2 linked regions of the Drosophila melanogaster genome follow. Changing the gene in region 1 together with any one later gene gives a genetic interaction. Each region holds a gene or a part of one and is shown on either strand. Other genes may lie near its edges.

The links.
Region 2: of Gmap (region 1) and cos, changing one enhances a phenotype caused by changing the other (phenotypic enhancement), as found in Drosophila melanogaster (one study listed by BioGRID).

The regions. Positions count from the first base shown.
Region 1 is NC_004354.4:15,485,309-15,490,126, forward strand, and holds the start of Gmap (golgi microtubule-associated protein), read left to right. Parts: upstream 1-1,613; 5' UTR 1,614-1,933; coding exon 1,934-2,167; intron 2,168-2,232; coding exon 2,233-2,325; intron 2,326-4,572; exon of another isoform or gene 4,573-4,818. Other genes in the region: CG6340 (uncharacterized protein), read left to right, coding at 24-1,133.
Region 2 is NT_033778.4:7,381,422-7,388,815, reverse strand, and holds cos (costa), read left to right. Parts: upstream 1-1,700; 5' UTR 1,701-1,836; coding exon 1,837-2,488; intron 2,489-2,546; coding exon 2,547-3,258; intron 3,259-3,314; coding exon 3,315-3,733; intron 3,734-3,796; coding exon 3,797-5,619; 3' UTR 5,620-6,640; downstream 6,641-7,394. Other genes in the region: Dhx15 (DEAH-box helicase 15), read right to left, coding at 1-108, 388-1,181, 1,236-1,288. UniProt on the Drosophila melanogaster protein: Regulates cubitus interruptus (ci) processing by recruiting multiple kinases to promote its efficient phosphorylation.

The sequences.
Region 1 (4,818 bases):
ACTAATGTCTGTGCTATTTACAGGGCGACCATCGCCACCATCGTACCAAAGACGGCGACAGCCACAGAGAGCGGGAGCGGGATCGTGACCGGGAGAGGGAGCGAGATCGCGACAAGGATCGGGACCGTAGGCGTTCGGAGAAGAGCAGTCGCCACCACAGTGGCAAGGAACGCCATCATCATCATCACAACAACTCATCGTCAGCCGCCGCTGCAGCGGTCAGTGCAGCATCAGTCCGTCGATCCCATGATGAACGCAGTCGTCGTCGCCGGGACTCTCGATCCGGTTCCCGCACACCAACGGGCACGCCGCCCTCTCGTCGCCGCCATCAGTCGCAACAGTCACGCAAATATCGCGAACGCGACTCCAGCAGCCGCTCCAGATCTCCGAAGGAAGAACAAGCCACAACACTTCGCGGTGGAGCTGTGGCCGGATCTCATATGCTGCTCGCTAAATCAGGCGGCGGAGCAGGATCAACGGCAACTAATGCAACAGCAGCGGCGAGGGTTGCAGCGGCCGCTCTGGTAGCTGCCAATGCAACAGCCGCAGCCATGGCAGCCGGTTCATCCGGCGGCGGTGGCGGCGGTCTCCTGCCCACGCCCAACTATGCGCCCAAGATACCCTCGCTGATGTCCTTGGAGCTGAGCACACCAGCGGCAGCAGCACCAGTCGCAGAACCCATCCAGCTGCCCAGTTACTACAATCCGAGCATCATCAATGCCAATCGCTATGCGGAGCAGCAGCAGAAGCGCAAGCTACTGTGGGGCTCCAAGAAGAGCGAGAACTCGGCGAACAAGTGGGGCAACGCGCACTTCTCCCAGGACTCCGACGGCAAGGTGGCCTCCAAGTTTATGCGGCTCATGGGTATCAAGAACGCTGGTACGTCCGGCAATGACGATGGCAAGGGCGGCCAGGCGGAGTCCACCAATGGAAGTGCAGCAGGCGAGGGAAACCGCGCAGTAAGAGGTGCTGCGCCATCGGGAGCCGCTGGCGGAACGAAAGTGCCCACGGACGTGCAGCAGCGCCAGCGCATGTTCTCCAACATGGAGCAGCAGTACGAGATGGCGCGAGCCGCCACACACACGATGCGTGGCGTGGGGCTTGGTTTCGGCTCCCAGCCACGTACTTTCTAGAAGGGATCGGAACGGAGGAGGATCGGCTCCCTGCCAGGCTGTAAATACCATGCCACTCACTCAACTCATTAGTCAGTCAATATGTTTCTCCTCAACAACTTTTTGTTTGTGTTGAGAAAATTTTTTGTTTTTTTGATTTCAAATAAACGTTGCAACAGAATTTATGAAGTGACGTGGCTCTCTCTTTGGATTTGCTTGGGATAAATGCGTCGTTAGGTAGACTTTTAGTCTACACTATTACTAAGTATGCTAAGAGTATCCAACTTTAACTACAAAGTTCAGCGGCTCTAATCGAAGAATGCTTGAATATTCAATAATAAATAAAGGTATTTTTTTTTACAATAAACAATTTTAAATTTTGGCACTCTGTTTAGTAGATGTCAGTTTTTTGCCATGCACCTTGGCGGTCGGTCTGCCTATCGCCAATCGATAGCTGACCAAAAACAATAACAATAACAAAATCAGCTGACGATAGGACGTCGGATATCGATACCATATCACAAACTAATAATAAAAATAATAATAAATAAGAGAATTAATACTACTAGAACACAAACAAAAGCATATAAAGCTTACACATCCTTTATTAAAACAAACAGCCAAATTGGATTTAAATTGTGGAACGAAGCAAACAGAACCGCTTGAGTTTGTGCCACTGCCACGCAAAAAAAATTATCGTTTCCAAAAAACTAAGCATACTTCATCCGAAATTAGCAATCAGCTAGCCAAAAGCGGAGTGATCTCGTCGAGAAGAGCCACGCCCCCTATCCGCCCACGCTGCCCAGAAGAGAGCAGCGAAGATGTCGTGGCTGAACAGCAGTCTCAGCCAGCTGAAGGGCCAACTAACCAATCTGGCGCAGGAAGTTCTGGCCGAAACGGCAGGACCCGGCGACTTGGAGTATGAGGGACATCAAGCAGGAGGTGCTAGCGTCCAAGACGCCGAGCAGCAGGCCAAGACAGCCCTGGAACTGCTGGCCGAAACCCAGGAGCAGAAGGAGCAGCTGGACAAGCGGTGCGAGGAGAAGGATCGTGAGGTAAAGCCAACTCACAGTCACTTTTGCGGCTTCTTCACCAATGGCCATCCGATTGCCCCTTTCAGATAGCCGCCCTGCGCCGAGAACTGGCCAAAAGCAAGCAGAAACAGGAATCCCAGCTGGCAGCCAGCACATCAGCTACGCGGGAACCGCAGTTGGTAAGTGACGTTTGATCCGAGGGACCTGCAGCTGGCCCCCATGTGGCCATGCCACATCCGGTGCCCACTCCGTCTTCCAGGAAACATTGCACTCCGGCGTGGAGTGGTGTTTGACCGGCTTTATCTTTCAAATAAGCGATAAGCCCAGCTCTCGCGCTCTCTGTTTCGCTTTTGGCCACATATCCCTGAATTAATATTTAAACTGCGATAAGCTAGGAGTCGGCACTACCCTAGTTTTATCTGCACTTCTCGCGTTTACCTGATGCCACATTGTATGCTTCACACGGAGAGAAAAATGGTTGCAGTGGCATATTGTTGTTTTCCGTGGCACGATTACAAAGCGCTAGAATTCACCGATTTCTGTTTTGCCAACAATTAAAGGGGGGTTTAAAATAAGCCAAGTTCTCGATTGCAAAGAATGTACTAATAGTATGGCAGGGTAAGCCATATTTCATTAGAGCGTCTTGAGCTTTCGGATTAGCAATCTAATGCTAAAAACGGTTTTATATTAACTTTCTCCTGGATAAATTTGAATTTGAATTTAAACTGATTTTTCATTTGACATCCATTCACCTTTTTCCCCGTGCAACTTCTATTTGATTTCACATTCGGTGGTGTTTGGTGTCTGCTATTTGCCTGGCTGTCATAAATCCCTGGTCTCCTTTTCGATCACCCCATATGCCTGTTAGCCTTATCTAGGCGTGCTGCTAACCCTATCGCTCCATAGCCCTCCGTTCGCCAACTGCTTGTTCAATTTACCGAATTATTTCTGATTAGGCAAGTTACTGCAGCGCAACCCCAAGTGTCTGATATTCCCGTTGAAAATGCAGGGTGACGGGGTTGCATTTGGAGCCATTTGGTTTGGTCACTGGGGCGATGGAGATCTTTCTGAAGCACAACTGTACCAGATTTTCCATAGTCACCTTAAATATAAAAAATATGGCTTTTCACATTGTAGATCTAGTTTTAAAATACTAAATGACATGCATATATAACCATAGCGTTAGATGTTATATTTTTTTCGAAATGATTGAATTACTCTTTGGCAATTTTATTAGAATCGTAGATACTTTATTTAATTCTTAAAATAATGAACCATTGTATTATGATCTAAAGTTCAAATCGATCGCATTGCCAGTAGGTAAAAAATTAGAAATCCCAAAGACTTTACAATATGGATTACGAGTATACTTTCAAACTGCCTGCTTTTTGAAATTTACGGTTCTTTTAATATAATATAAAGTTTTGTAGTTTTTTGTTCATTAAAAATGCTTTTAAAATTGATTGTTTAAAAAACATCAAAATATTTTAATCAATTTATAATCAAATACAATATGATATATATTTATGTTAATTTAACGTGCCATTATGATTTGCCAGATTTTTATTTGCTCTAAATCCGGTTTTGGTTGCAGCTTAAATTGGCAAATTGATCTTTCTAGTTTCGGCCATCATTACTCATGTTTTATATTTGTTTCTGATTAGCTAATCGATTGTGTAAAAATGAGTTCCTATCAAACATGCGAAGCATAAATTATGAGGGAAAATTGCATCATTTAGTACGAATATTCAGAGATAAACCATAAATACTCATTCCTTATCGGAGCTGGCGAAATCTGAACAGTAAGCAGTTGGAAAATCGATACGGATATCTGATACATATATATAATTCTTTCATGTAAGCGATTTTGATCTATTCTTTTAATTTAATGTCGATAGATGAATGGTTGCTCTAGTCAGCTAATTCAAATCTTGATCTTCTTGAGTAAGATATGACTTAATCGGCTCAAACTTTCATCATTTCATCATTTGATTTCTATATATGTGGATATATGTTTTCCCAGATTTTTCCTTCTGGGCTATCTCGCATGTACTATCTAAAGATAGCCATATCTTTTGGATCGATAGTTGGGTCACCATATTGTTTTGCATAATTGCGCCAGGCGACCGGCGATAAGTGTGCCCTCGTCCCCATCTCCATCCCCATTCCCATTCCCATTCCCATTTTCATTCACATCCCTCATGGCCCACCTCCACTGCCACTACCAACTCCTACTCCTCCTTCGTGAATATGGCAATCTGCTCCTGCCAACCATTATCATCCCCATTAGGCGGGCATTTGGGACATCTGCATGGCACCATGCTCGGGTTATCTTATCCGGGCCAAGCTGGCCAGGATCGAGGGGGTTGGTTGGCTGGATTGCCTGGATCCGGGGGCCTATAAAAGCCCGGTTCACCTGCTGGCTGGCATTCATTCGGTTCCGTGTGATCGATTCACGTAGGCCCGCATAAAGTGTTAATTTCTACTCAGTTTCTTTCTCATTCGGTGGGCACAGTTTTGGCCTGAAAAATTACAGAAAAGAAAAAACGCAAAACAAACGCGATTTGCATTTGAAAATCGTGTGAAATTTTCCTCCAAAAAGAAGGTCAATTTTTCTTAACATTTTTTTTTGTTTGTTTGTTCTTTGCATTCATTTTTTATTGCCGGAAGTC
Region 2 (7,394 bases), on another chromosome or scaffold:
TGCATTTCAGCTCTCCAATTTCTGAGCCCAAATTGTCGATCTCGCGCTTGATGCGCTTGCAAGCCTCCTCAATCTCCTCCTGGCCCGTGAGGAACATTAGGATATCACCTAGAGTAGCAAAATCAAGTTGGGGTTTAGTTTACAATGGAAAAAGCGAATGCGTCTTTTCCGGCATTGAATAGGATCATATTCAAAAGTCGTAAACACTTGAATGATTACAATACCATTAAAGCAAATACGAAGCATTTGCCGCCCTTCGGCACTCGGAAAGTTTATATTTTGCCTGGCACTTTTACATTGTAAACATATGATCGATAAATGCTTCTTAGAACAATGAACTAGCAAGCTATTAAATGAACTCCAAGCTAAACTCATTTACCAACTTACCCTCAATTTCCTCGCACATGTGTATCTGGATTACCGTGCGAATAGCAGCCTCTAGGTAATCTCTTTCTGGTTCGGGCGTGTAGAAGATCTCCACGGGATGTGTGCGACCGGGCACTTTCATGAGCGGTGCGTTGTCGAAATACTGCTGGAACTTGCCGGCGTCCAGTGTGGCGGACATGACCACCAGCTTAAGGTCGCTGCGCTGACGAATGACCTCCTTGAGCACGCCCATTAGAATGTCAGTGGCCAAGGTCCGCTCGTGAGCCTCGTCAAGCAGAATGACCTGGTACTGGTCCAGCATGGGATCAGACATGGCCTCGCGCAACAACATACCATCGGTCATGTACTTGAGCAGCGTCTTGGCCGTGGAGCAGTCCTCGAAACGGATGGAGTAGCCGACCTCTTCGCCCAGTTTTACGTCCATCTCCTCCGAAACGCGCTGGGCCACGGACATGGCGGCAACTCGACGTGGCTGTGTGCAGGAGACTCCCTTGCGCCCCTTGGATACTGCGAAGTCCACGCACCACTGCGGGATCTGGGTCGTCTTGCCGGAGCCAGTCTCGCCCACCAGCACAATACACTGGTGCAGGCTGAGCAGCCGCATAAAGTCCGCCTGGTACTCGAACACGGGCAGCGCAATGCGCTTCTTGTAGAGATTCTGGTACCGTTGTGAGTACGGCGTGTTGGTCAGCGGGTTCATCGTGGGCGGTTGCTTGTTGGGCACGAATCCGCCCAGGATTTGAGCCACTGTGCCGGCAGCGGCTGCCGCCGACGAGGAGGACGCCTCCGGGTCCCTGGTGAGAAAGGAGCGTTACATTACTGCCGTATGTTGGCCTCGGGTCACTTACTTCTTCGCCTTGCTGCCGTAGGTCTCCCCCACTTCGATTCGACGCTTGGACATGCTAATTTATGGTGATTACTGCACTTAATTCTCAAAACGAAGCGTTTAGCACAAAAAAAAACACGCGCTCAGTGAGACCTTTAGCATATACCGACCATGCTGATCGCAACTTTTAAAATACCAAAGTTTACTGTCTGTGTATACTATATAAGCCCATGGTTAGCGAAGATCACAACCAACAGCACGGCAGCAATTTGGCATTTAAAAAAAAACAGCAGTTCAAGCTTAAGTCTTTTGACGAGAATCTATCTATAGAATTCGGTTTTACTCACCAGTTTGAAGAATAGTTGTGAGCTCACAGTCTTAAAATTGACATTTGACAGCAATTTGATTGGAAACTGATTTTGATTTTTACAGTAACAAACTGTTACATGGATTCGGTATTTTCGGCTTGGGTTGGCGCTTTAGCGTCGGCCACACTATCACATTGTATCGATTCGGAGGGAGTTGAATTTTTGCACGTATTTGAAAGCGCAAAGATGCGAAACAAAGAGCAGGATATCGAATGAAAGAGCTCCTGCGAGACCAGGACTAGTTGCCTAACCACCATGGAAATACCCATTCAGGTAGCGGTGCGCATCTTCCCGCATAGAGAGCTCAAGGACTTGTTGAGGAGCTTCGGCCCCACAGAGCCCAAAAAGGATGCGCAGGCGGTGGATGAGGGGGCGGACTCCAAGGACTCCGAGGCTCAAGTTCCGGCGGCTGAGAAGGACAATCCGTCAATTTCAGAGACGGACCCAAACGGGAATGCTGAGCAGGACAGTGCGGCCGATTCGAAGACAATTCCAGATGCCAATGGCAACGACAGTGGTCAGAAGGATTACCCAGACTCCGCATATTGCGTTCAGGCTATTCCCATCAGCGCTTCGGCCCTGGGATTGCCCAGTGCCCTGCCAGGCGGAGATCCCATGGACAGCATTGCAGCTGGACTGATACAAGTCGGTCCCCACACGGTTCCGGTCACCCACGCCCTGCCCAGCAGCAGCTCCCAGGAGCAAGTGTACCACCAGACGGTCTTTCCGCTCATCACCCTGTTCCTGGAAGGTTTCGACGCATCTGTAGTCACCTATGGCCAGAGGGGCCAGGGCAAAAGCTACACACTCTACGGAAACGTCCAGGACCCTACTCTGACGGATTCCACCGAAGGAGTCGTCCAACTTTGTGTCCGTGACATTTTCTCACACATATCGTTGCACCCAGGTGAGTTTACTAAAAGGATCTTATAAGCATAGTTATCCATTTCCATTTTCACTTTAAGAACGCACCTATGCCATCAACGTGGGATTCGTGGAAATTTGCGGAGGTGATGTCTGCGACTTGTTGGGCATGGGAAACATACACTGCACCAACGTAGATGCCGTCTTCCACTGGTTGCAGGTGGGTCTGTCGGCCCGCCAATCGTTGCCGGCGCACACCCTGTTCACGCTTACCCTGGAGCAGCAGTGGGTGTCCAAGGAGGGGCTGTTGCAGCACCGCTTGTCCACGGCCAGTTTCTCGGATCTCTGCGGCACAGAGAGATGTGGAGACCAGCCACCGGGACGTCCTCTCGATGCTGGCCTGTGTATGCTGGAGCAGGTGATCAGTACTCTCACAGATCCAGGCCTCATGTACGGGGTTAATGGCAACATTCCGTACGGTCAGACCACGCTCACCACTCTCCTGAAGGACTCGTTCGGCGGACGGGCTCAGACGCTCGTGATCCTGTGCGTGTCACCGCTGGAAGAGCACTTGCCCGAAACTCTTGGCAACCTGCAGTTCGCCTTTAAGGTGCAGTGCGTACGTAATTTTGTAATTATGAACACCTACTCCGACGACAACACGATGATCGTTCAGCCGGCTGAGCCTGTTCCCGAATCCAATTCCTCTGCTGGACCCTTGTCGCAGGCGGGACCAGGGGACAACTTTGGCCTACAATTCGCAGCAAGCCAATGGTCCAAACTAGTTACCAACGCCGAGGGGCTATTTTCCAAGTAAGTGTACACATTATTTCCGATGTGGGCCTTTTGACGACAAAAGAAATTTATAGGCTGATAGACTCCAAGCTAATTACTGAAGTGGAGAAGGAGCAGATCGAGGAGTGGCTCTTCCTCAAGCAGGAGTGCGAGGAGTGTCTCAGCTCAACAGAGGCTATGCGTCAGCAAAAACAGTTGGTTCCCATTCTGGAGGCCGAGGAGCCCGAGGACGTGAATTCTGAAGCAGCCAATTCGGAGTCGCCAAACTCCGACAACGAAAACGACACAGACAATGAGTCGCATCGGCCCGATCTGGACGACAAGATAGAAAGTCTAATGGAAGAGTTTCGCGACAAAACAGACGCTCTTATACTTGAAAAACACGCTGAATATCTATCCAAGCATCCGAAGGCGGTTATGCAAAGCCAAGACCGCGAGATTGAGGCACAGCCGCCAGAAGAAAATGGTGATGATCGAAAAGTCAGCATTGGCAGTAAGTCTTTGCCTTGAATAACATTTTTTTATACAGTAACATGTTGATTCCTTGCTTTAATAGGTCGCAGGAGAAGTGTTCAGCCAGGTGCTAGCTTAAGTACTGCTGAGCTTGCCATGCTTAATCGGGTAGCTTCCCAGCAGCCGCCTCCGCCCATCGATCCTGAGTCGGTCGTCGATCCTCTGGAAAGTTCTTCGGGCGAAGGAATCCGTCAGGCGGCTCTCGCTGCCGCCGCCGCCACTGCTCCTATTGAACAGCTGCAGAAAAAATTGCGCAAACTGGTCGCTGAGATCGAGGGCAAGCAACGACAGTTACGGGAAATCGAAGAGACAATCCAGGTAAAACAAAATATAATCGCCGAATTGGTCAAGAACAGCGATACACGCAGCCATGCAAAGCAAAGATTTCACAAGAAACGTGCCAAACTTGAGGCCGAGTGCGACAAGGCCAAGAAGCAGTTAGGTAAGGCGCTAGTTCAAGGCCGGGATCAGTCGGAGATTGAGCGATGGACCACGATAATCGGACATCTCGAGCGTCGACTAGAAGACCTCAGCTCAATGAAGCATATTGCGGGTGAGAGCGGACAGAAGGTGAAGAAGCTACAGCAATCGGTGGGCGAGTCGCGAAAACAGGCCGATGATTTACAGAAAAAGCTTCGAAAGGAGTGCAAGCTGCGCTGCCAGATGGAGGCGGAGCTGGCCAAACTACGAGAATCCAGGGAGACTGGCAAAGAGCTAGTGAAGGCGCAAGGTTCTCCCGAGCAACAAGGCCGCCAGTTAAAGGCAGTACAGGCTAGGATTACGCACCTTAATCACATTTTACGCGAGAAGTCGGATAACCTGGAGGAGCAGCCGGGACCAGAACAGCAGGAGACCTTGCGTCATGAGATCCGCAACTTGCGCGGAACTCGTGACTTGTTGTTGGAAGAACGCTGTCATTTGGACCGCAAACTTAAGCGGGACAAGGTGCTGACGCAAAAGGAGGAGCGCAAGCTGCTCGAGTGCGATGAGGCCATCGAGGCCATAGATGCGGCCATAGAATTCAAGAACGAGATGATCACGGGCCACCGCTCCATCGACACGAGCGACCGAATTCAGCGGGAGAAGGGAGAACAGATGCTGATGGCACGCCTAAATCGTCTCTCAACGGAGGAGATGCGAACACTTCTGTACAAATACTTCACGAAGGTTATCGATTTGCGCGACTCTTCACGAAAGCTGGAGCTGCAGCTGGTGCAGTTGGAGCGTGAGCGGGATGCCTGGGAGTGGAAGGAGCGTGTTCTGTCCAATGCCGTGCGCCAGGCTAGACTGGAAGGCGAACGGAATGCGGTGCTGCTGCAGCGCCAGCACGAAATGAAACTCACTTTGATGCTGCGTCACATGGCGGAGGAAACGTCGGCCAGTTCGGCCAGCTACGGAGAACGAGCTTTGGCCCCTGCCTGTGTCGCCCCGCCGGTGCAGGCCAGTAGTGATTTCGACTACGATCATTTCTACAAAGGTGGCGGCAATCCAAGCAAGGCACTGATCAAAGCGCCAAAGCCGATGCCCACCGGCTCGGCGCTAGACAAATACAAGGACAAAGAGCAACGCAGCGGACGCAACATCTTTGCCAAGTTCCATGTGCTCACCAGATATGCGTCAGCTGCCGCAGCCGGTTCCTCAGGGTCCACGGCCGAGGAATCCACGGCCCTGATTGAGTCAACCACCACGGCCACGGCAACCACTACGTCGACAACCACCACTGGAGCCGTAGGAAAAGTGAAGGACAAGGCCCTGGTCAGCTTCAGGCCGGAGCAGCTGAAGCGTCTGATGCCAGCTCCGACGGCCACGAAAGTGACGCGTCAGAAGAACAAGATAATTATCCAGGACGCAAGTCGTCGAAACTAAATACGAATTTAACCATTTCCAGGACGATATTATAAGGTTAAGCCAAATAGCCATATACAATTAATAGCCATGAGCTGAAATCCAGCCACTTTAATAATTAAGGCGATAATATAAAAAAATGCTTAAAAATGTATAACAGATTACTCCCATATACATGCATACATTTTAATCAATAGTCCGACATATATACCAGCTTGAATTTATTAGTTTACTGCTTGTCGTTTAACTTATTAAAGTGGCTGGAGTTCGATATCTTTTTAAGTGTGAAGCAATAGCTCAGATCCTGGTAACAAGAACTGAACAAGTTTCGTCCACAGTCATGACACAAATAGACTACAACACATGGTTCTCATTCCGGCTCTTTAGCTGGGGAGCATTTATTTTAGAAACCCCCACACGTACATACACCTAGCATATGAAAGTAACTATCCTCATGAGATTCAACCGTAAAGACTTGACCTGCTACTTAAGATACTCGCAAGACAAACCGTACACAAAACTCGCTCAAAGTGTTGACCTAAGTCTCCGCATTGTTTAACTTGTACATAACAATAATTATTAGGTAACCACTTAATTTTAATTGATTTTGTTAGTTTTAGCTTAGTTGTAAACACTATTGTGTCTTCCCTCGAATTTTAATTGACCTTCGATACCAATTACAACATACGTACTCCATACCCAAGTGTTAACCTTTAATATTCTATCAAAAGCATTTACTCTGTACAACTTATAAATGCTTCAAATCGCAGTATTTGCGCTAATCCAATACTCATTTTGCATTAACTTAAAATTAAAATTCAATACTGTTTGGTTGTGTACAACGTATTTTTTATTGTCCATTGATATAGATGCAGTTTGCACTGTACTCCGAGTAACTTAAATTGATATTAATGTATGTATGTTCCCTCAATATCAGCGTGTGAAAAATTATAAACACATTTGTAAGCATACATATTCCGCCAAATCGCTCGGCATGGCTTTGTGTGGATATTGTTGGTTAAGCAAATAAATATATACAAACTAAACTAATCAATCAGTGTTTAATCAGTGTTTTATATTCAAAATAAAATAGTTATCGTCTTATAAAGATAATTAAGTTCTACATTTGCAGCTGAAATCCAAGCAAACACAGTCCACAAGGCAACAGGTGAGAAATGTCCCAGAAATTTCCCAAACAATCGCCCCTTCGGACACACACACACACAGAAAGCGCAAAGAGAGAGGATGAGAGGGAGAGAGAGAGAGCGCCGGTTTAAGCGTTGTATCTAAATCCGATGGCGAGTATCTGAGCATCCGATTCAGTCTTGTTTGGACCGTCGAGCGATCGAGAACCGGATTTCAGCGCTAGTCGGCGAATCGCGAGAGCGTGCGAGTATTTGTGTGTGCGTGTGAGCGTTTGTTTTGGGACACCGATACGGATACGGGTACGGATAGACGGATATACGGCAGCGGTACGCGATTAGCAATCCGCCAACCGGTTGCAGCGGTGCTAGTGCACCACCCTACAAAAAAGTGAATAATAGTATGCAAAGTATCTGAAAGATAGTCAAGAGCAGAGCAAAGTATCTGTGTTTGTGTGTGCCGTGCTTTTGTGCGGAGTCGCCACCCCCGTGGATTAGTGGCACCCTGCTGCAAATAGCCCACCACTCTCACAAGTGTGTGTGTGTGAGTGTTAACAATTAATCGCATTTAAAAAACAATTTGGCCAGCCGCAGTAACAATAACGGTAAGAAAAGTCGGCGGTACCGTTGGGAAATTTTCACCGTTGTCTGGCA